Linked DNA regions of Macaca mulatta. The protein of the gene in region 1 purifies or fractionates together with the protein of each later gene. This does not show direct contact. Links are inferred from orthologs where the notes say so. Each region holds a gene or a part of one and is shown on either strand. Other genes may lie near its edges. The genes, in order: RTEL1 and MMS19.

Region 1 (3,809 bases):
ACGCCCAGCTAATTTTGTATTTTTAGCAGAGTCAGGGTTTCTCCATGTTGGCCAGGCTGGTCTCAAACTCCAGGTGATCCGCCCACCTCGGCCTCCTGAAGTGCTGGGATCCAGGCGTGAGCCGCCGCGCCCGGCCTGTGTCGTGTTTTCTGCGTGGCCGCTGTAAACAACTGACTAGGAGTCTGTGAGCATCTTCATTGGTTCCGCTGTGACTTGCGTGTGAGCATCTCCAGCATCAGCTTTCCTCATTTTCCTTTAAAATCGCACATGTGGATGGACACCATGGGGACCCTGGACCCTGGGCAGCCTCGTCCTCACCTTTCTCACCAGGGTGGCTGCTTGGGAGAGAGTGAGTTTGCGAACTTGGCATTTGTTCTGGCTGTAGGATCCGTTTATATATATACATATATTTAAGTGACAGGGTCTGACTCTGTTGCCCAGGCTGGAATGCGGTGGCGTGATCTTAGCTCCCTGTAGCCTCAGCCTCCTGGGCTCGTGGGGTCTTCCCGTCTCAGCCTCTTAAAGCACCGGGACCGCAGGCGGTCGCCACTGCCATCGGATCTCAAGGCTGCCACGCAGGGCGCTGCAGTAGGGGAAGGGGTTCCTGGGACTTTGAACGCTCCACCTCCCTCTTCTCCACAGTCCCCCAACCCCACCTCTAACTGGGAGTGGATGGCCACCTCTTTCCATCCTTTGCCTGGCGCAGGGTGGGGAGAATGACAGGTCTCCTTCCGCATCTCGGCAGCTGCCCTTTCGTCGGTTATATGACGTGGGAGAGACCCCGGCCACCCCCAGGGCTGTGTGACGTGGGAGAGACCCCGGCCACCCCCAGGGCTGTGAACACCGCCACAGGGGCCTTCTCCACTCTTCAGTTTTGTTAGTTACGTGACGTGCAGGGCTTTTCGTTGTAACTAGTGGGGGACGTGTGGTGAGGGGGGCTTCTGCCGTCTCATTCAGGACTGGAACTTCAGTTTTCATCGCTATTTGTCCTCCTACGCCTTTGGAGATGGGGTCTCGCTCTGTTACCCAGGCTGGAGAGCAGTGGTGCCATCAGGGCTCACGGCAGCCTCCTCCTCCTGCAGCCTCCGCCTCTTGGGCTCACGCGATCCTCCTGCCTCGGCCTCCCAAACTCCTGGGACGACTACAGACGTGCGCCACCGTGCTTGGCAGGGTTCATTCTTTTCCTCACACTTTATTTATTGGAGAGCCCGGTAGAGCGCCCGGTTTGCACGATCTGGTTGTTGAGACATTGAGAGGAACCCTGCGGAGTCTGAATCTGGGTATGGGAGGGGCAGTCACACGAGTTCCCCGGTGTTCTCGTCTCCTCCGCACTTAGGTGCCCTTAGGTGGCTTGAGGACCCCAGTTAGACTGGGGCCACCCTTTGCCTGGCTCCAGGCGGGATGTCCTTTCTTTTTTTTTTTTTTTTTTTTTGAGACGGAGTCTCGCTCTGCCGCCCAGGCTGGAGTGCAGTGGCCGGATCTCAGCTCACTGCAGGCTCCGCCTCCCGGGTTCACGCAATTCTCCTGCCTCAGCCTCCCCAGTAGCTGGGACTACAGGCGCCCGCCACCTCGCCCGGCTAGTTTTTTGTATTTTTTAGTAGAGACGGGGTTTCACCGTGTCAGCCAGGATGGTCTCGATCTCCTGACCTCGTGATCCGCCCGCCTCGGCCTCCCAAAGTGCTGGGATTACAGGCTTGAGCCACCGCGCCCGGCCGGGATGTCCTTTCTATCAGGAGGCTCACAGTATCTGCTTTCCAGTTTCTTCTGACGTTAACGTTGTTGCTGCTGAACACCTGACTCTGTTGATTATTGGGGGATTGCAAGATGGTAGTGTGCCAATTCTGTCACTTAGTCAGTTAGCAGGAATAATCTAGCACCATGCTCTGCATCGCATCAGCCGTGTGGTGATCCCATTCACACAGGAAAGGCGGGATAAATGCTGGCTGTGGGCCGGGTGTGCTGTCCCGCATCTGTAATCCCAGCACTTTGGGAGGCCAGGGCGGTCGGATCACGAGGTCAGAGATTGAGACCATCCTGGCCAACATGGTGAAACCCCGTCTCTACTAAAAATACAAAAAAAAACCCAAAACATGAGTGGGCCGTGGTGGCGCGTGCTTGTAATCCCAGCTACCGGGGAGACTGAGGCAGGAGAATCACTTGAACCCGGGGGGCGGAGGTTGCAGAGAGCTGAGATCGCGCCACTGCACTCCAGCCTCACAACAAAGCGAGACTCTGTCTCAGTAATCAATCAGTCAATCAATCAGACGTCATCAGTGAATGTACGTGAGCGTGTAGGGATTGGTCCTGCTCCGCGCGCCACCCTCAATCTCACTCCTGACCTCCGTTCTCCACCTCGAGGTGTTTTCATGTGGGCCCGTGTGTCCTGACCCCAGCAGTTGTGGCCTCTTTGCTGTCTGGGAGTCAGGATTTTTCACACTCATGTCCTGCTCCAGACCTGGAATCAGCCAAGTCTCCAAGAAGCTCTGGTTTCTTTTCCTGCAAGGTGGTATTTCAGGACCCACGATGCGGCAACAGGCTAGTCATGGTTACTGGGTTGGTCATTGTTACTGGGTGTTTTTGTGGAGATACATCCATACGCACAGATGTGTTCACAAATGTTAACTCTGAAGGTAAACCACCCAGCTGGGCACAAGGGCTCACCGGTAATCCCAGCACTTTGGGAGACCGAGACAGTTGGATGACCTGAGGTCGGGAGTTTAAGACCAGCCTGGGCAACATGGTGAAACCCCATCTCTACTAAAAACGCAAAAATTAGCCAGGTGTGGTGGCACACGCCGGTAGTCCCAGCTAGTTGGGAGACAGACATGCTGGAACCTGGGACACGGAGGTTGCAGAGAACAGAGATAGTGCCGCTGCACCCCAGCCTGGGTGATAGGGTGACACCCTGTCTCCAAAATAAATAGATAAATAAAGGGAAAACGCCTCCTCTTGGTGTCTCCAGTTTGGACTGGCTGGCATGGGTTCCGGTAGCCTCTTCCCCCATGGTGGCGTCCTTTTTTCCATGCCGGGAATCCTGGTTCTCAAGGGCGGGGTTGTTGGTCTGAGTGTGACACAGACTGTGCCTTTGCTGCCTTTCTCTTGCCCAGGGCTGAACATGGAGCTGGAAGACATTGCAAAGCTGAAGAGTAAGTGCTGCCCTCCCCACCTTCTTGCGGCTGGGTGGGGCCTCCCCCTGATGCCTCCTCAACCCGACCTGCAGTGATCCTGCTCCGCCTGGAGGGGGCCATCGATGCCGTTGAGCTGCCTGGAGACGACCGCGGTGTCACCAAGCCAGGGAGGTGAGAGGCGGGGAGCCAGCTGCTTCACTGGAGGCCCAGCCTAGAGCTAGAGATAGGCCATGGTGCAGTCCTGGGCTGTCCCACCAGTGAGGCCTGTTTTCAGGCCCGTTTTCCCTTTTGGAGACCTGGTAGGAGCGCCCGGTTTGCATGATCTGGTTGTTGAGACGTTGAGAGGAAGAGCACACGCATCCACGGAACAGCACACGCATCCACGGAACAGCACACGCATCCACGGAACAGCACACACTCCCACGGAACAGCACACGCATCCACGGAACAGCACCCACTCCCACGGAACAGCACACCCACGGAACAGCACATGCTTCCACGGAACAGCACATGCTTCCACGGAACAGCACACCCCCACGGAACGGCACCCACGGAACAGCACGCACGCCCCCACGGAACAGCACCCATGCCCCCACGGAACAGCACCCACGCCCCCACGGAACAGCACCCACGCCCCCACGGAACAGCACACACACCCACGGAACAGCACGCACGCCCCCA
Region 2 (3,809 bases), on another chromosome or scaffold:
CCTCTGTTCACCTGCCAGAGATGCTGCAGCAGCAGAGGCAGTGTCTCCTTGACGATGCTGGGATGTGTTGATACAGCTGACAAGGCTTGCAGACAGCACAGATGCTGGGAGCATTGGATGTGCTCATCTCCTTTAGTCAAATTTGACTCCCCTGAAAGCAACCCATAAGATGAAGGTTCACTGTGTGATAGCAAGCACGAAGGCCCCAAAGCCTTGCTGGGAAGGGATGCGCCACAGAGGATTAGAGACACATACCTACACGCAGCTCCTCAGCGAGCTTGGGTATGAGGTGGCTGCTGAAGGCCACAGGGTAGAGAGCAGCCAGGGCTCCTGATGCTTCCAGTGCTGCCACCCTGCTGGAGGCGCAGAGCAGATGAGCAATGGCTGAGCCTTGGCTCACAGCTCTCTTGCCTAGGTCTGATATTAGGCAGATTCAGGAGTGTGAGCTCCCAACACCTCCTTGCCAAAGAGTAGAAGTCAAGTACCTACACCACTGAGTTTGACAGGGTTTCTTAAAGCCTAAGAAGAAAGCAGTCCTACATCTCTCCAACCGGTTAGCAGCCAGAGCCTAACACAGAGCTCACCTCCCCTAAGGAGAGCCAAGGGTCAGAAGCACAGAGCCCTGGTCCTAGCTTGATCTGTTGCTGCCAATACAGAGGCAGGGAACAGCGTGCTCTATATCTCACTGCTTTAAATTCTCACCAACTCTGGGAATCCTCCTCCAGGAAGCTCAGTCTGTACAGGTGACCCACTGCCAGCTCCAAGTCCTCAGAAGATAGGAGATCTGTAGTTAGAAGGGAACATGAATCCCATCTTTCGTCCCCTGCAGCCATCACAACCCTTCCAAGCTCTTATTAGAAATCCCAAATCATCCAGAGTTGCAGTGAGAACAGGATAGTAAGGCTGCTTTTCACTAAGGCAGCCTTACAAGAAAAGGACCAATATCCTTCTCTTCTCTCTTTCCCTTAAGATGTACCTGGCTGGGCACCCAAGACTGTGAGTGTACGGATGCCAACAAGCTGAAGCTGGGTGCTGGGGTCTGTTAGGGCCATGAATACCAGTGAGCACAGCTGGTCCTTGAAGCCATTCAGAGGCCTTTGATCTAGGGAGAGACAGAGGCCAGGTTAGAAGGAAGCCATTACATTCCATATCCCTGACTAAGCTGTGATATACAGACAACCTGGGGTAGATTTTTTTTTTTTGAGACAAGGTCTCTGTTGCCCAGGCTGGAGTGCAGTGGCACAATCTGGGCTCACTGCAGCCTCTGCCTCCCAGGTTCAAGCTATTCTCCTGCCTCAGCCTCCTGAGTAGCTGGGACTACAGGCATGTGCCAACATACCTGGCTAATTTTTGTATTTTTAGTAGAGACAGGGTTTTTCACCATATTGGCCAGGCTGGTCTTGAACTTCTGACCTCAAGTTTTCCACCTGCCTTAGCCTACCAAAGTGCTGGGATTATAGGTGTGAGCCACCATGCCCCGCCTCCTGGGGCAGATTTAAAGAGCTTAATCCACTGGGTATCCAGGAAGCACACTGAGAAAAATAAACAGATCTCATCCATCTCATCTGTTAGTGTTCTCTTGTGCTACAACCTCAGAATAGGACCATTGTTCTAGACTACTTTTCCACAGCACTCTTTGCCCTGCTGTCCTTTATAGTCTGCAGTGTTCAACAGTCCCCAGAGCACTGCAATGGAAGGCAACCTCACCTTTGTCTTCATAGCTCCATTTCTGCTGCAGCTTCAAGAAACCCAGGAGCATTTCAAGGATTGTCCGCCGCTGGCTGCTCTGTAATGTTTCAAGGGGTACTGGAGTCAAAGAATATTTTAAGGTATTTCAATCCTGCTACTCTGGATGTAGGGAGAAACCTTTCTTTCTTCCAAGAGATGGGGGTTTTGCTATGCCACAGTCAGGCTGGAATACAGTAGCATGATTATAGCTCACTGCAGCCCCGACCTCCTAGGTTCAAGTGATTCTCTCGCCTCAGCCTCCTGAGTAGCTGCGACTACAGATGCGTGCCACCTTATCCAGCTAATTTAAATTTTTTTTTTTTTTGTAGAGATGTGGTCTTGCTATGTTGCCCAAGCTGGTCTTTAAATCCTAGCCTCAAGTGATTCTCCCGCCTTGGCCTCCCAAAGTGCTGGGATTACAGGCATGAACCAGCATGTCCTGCTTGGCTAATTAAAAATAAATTTTGTTTTTTAGAGATGGCATCTCGCTTTGTTGCCCAGGCTGATCTTGAACTCCTGGCTTCAAGCAATCCTCCCTTTTTGGGAGAATGATCCTTTTATGTAAGAGACAGGGAAAAAGTAAGTAAGGGAAGCAGCAGCAGCAGCTAATGGGAGCAAAACCCAAGATCTACTATGTCGGCCCCAGCTAAAACTTAGCACTCTGAGAAAGGGAACCTAGCACACAGGTCCCATCATTCCCCCAAAGATTCTGCTCCCTTACCTGACTGTGCTTGTGGAACTGTTCCAGCAGTAAAGGCAGGACATTGCTGGTGATATAGTCACAGGCCCGGGCAGATGCACCTGCAGCTGCCTGCAACAGCTTGGCACTAGGCCACACCAGTTTCATGTCTGGTTCACACAGGTGGTGCCTGCAGTCTAGAGAAGCAGCACATCACAGACCTGGGGAGGAGGCCAAACGGTGCCTGACTCCCCTACAGTCCACAGAGGTTGGAGACTGAGACCCATGACAGTTTGCAAGCAGTTAACACTCAAATTGTTTTCAATTCAGAGTAGGGCTATTGCCCCCAGATCACCAAATATATTGGGGCTAAACAAGAAAGGTCACTGGCCCTTAAGGAATGTCATTTATTTATTTATTTTTTTTAAAATTTGAGACAGAGTTTTGCTCTTGTTGCCCAGGCTGGAGTGCAGTGATACGATCTCAGCTCACTGCAACCTCTGCCTTCCAGTTTCAAGCGATTCTCCTGCCTCAGCCTCCTGAGTAGCTGGGATTACAGGTGCCCACTACCACGCCCGGCTAATTTTTGTATTTTTAGTAGAGACGAGGTTTCACCATGTTGGCTAGGCTGGTCTTGAACTCCTGACCACCCACCTCGGCCTCCTAAAGTACAGGGATTACAGGTGTGAGCCACCACACCCGGGCAAGGAATGTCATTTCTATTGTGCTCACTCCCCTTCCTGGCTGCCACAGCCCCATTACCCTGTAGAATGTTGCTAAGGAAGGAGTCAAGGAGGTCCTCAGCATCAGCCCTCAGCACAGAACGAGACAAACACGCAGTCAGGGAGTGGAGGGCCGCCAGGCCCTCTGCCTCCACCCGCTCACTTGCCGTCTGGAACACCTGTCAGGGAGGGATCCCATGGCTACTGAGGTGAGCCTGCACCAGATGAGACCCCACCAATCCACTGCCTATTTCCTTGTTGGAGAGGAGAGTGAGAACCTCTAGGACACAGAAATGGAAATTAACACGTCAACTGAGTGTCTTCTCAACTGGTGTGTTCTTACCAAGTCCTTAGTCACACTCAGGACAGAGACACACACTTTCTGAGAAACAGAAAACCAACTCTGAGCAGTGGCTCTGCTCACCTTTCTATTCACCACGGTGTCAGAGGCACCATAACCTGCACTCCTTGCCACAGAAGGACAAGAAGTGGGTAATGTGCAAAGGTGATCAACTGCTCTTACCAAGCAGCTGACTGTCACATAGGGACTCTCTCTCGTCATTCAACTAGAATTATGTCCCCCTGCTTGCCTCCTGAATAACCAGGCATAATACCTTGGCCCTGGGGATGACAGAGGGAAAAGGACAGGATGTATTATTTCCCCTCATGCCTGACAATTG

The links.
Region 2: the proteins of RTEL1 (region 1) and MMS19 purify together in Homo sapiens (affinity purification with western blotting; 4 studies listed by BioGRID and IntAct, with this or other methods). This does not show direct contact. The link is inferred for Macaca mulatta from reciprocal best matches to the Homo sapiens genes RTEL1 and MMS19.

What each region holds. Positions count from the first base shown.
Region 1 is NC_133415.1:116,535,179-116,538,987, forward strand, and holds part of RTEL1 (regulator of telomere elongation helicase 1), read left to right. Parts: intron 1-3,107; coding exon 3,108-3,146; intron 3,147-3,220; coding exon 3,221-3,299; intron 3,300-3,809. UniProt on the Homo sapiens protein: A probable ATP-dependent DNA helicase implicated in telomere-length regulation, DNA repair and the maintenance of genomic stability. Acts as an anti-recombinase to counteract toxic recombination and limit crossover during meiosis.
Region 2 is NC_133414.1:109,517,907-109,521,715, forward strand, and holds part of MMS19 (MMS19 nucleotide excision repair protein homolog), read right to left. Parts: intron 3,309-3,809; coding exon 3,170-3,308; intron 2,605-3,169; coding exon 2,450-2,604; intron 1,787-2,449; coding exon 1,708-1,786; intron 1,103-1,707; coding exon 977-1,102; intron 785-976; coding exon 703-784; intron 357-702; coding exon 256-356; intron 152-255; coding exon 2-151; intron 1-1. UniProt on the Homo sapiens protein: Key component of the cytosolic iron-sulfur protein assembly (CIA) complex, a multiprotein complex that mediates the incorporation of iron-sulfur cluster into apoproteins specifically involved in DNA metabolism and genomic integrity.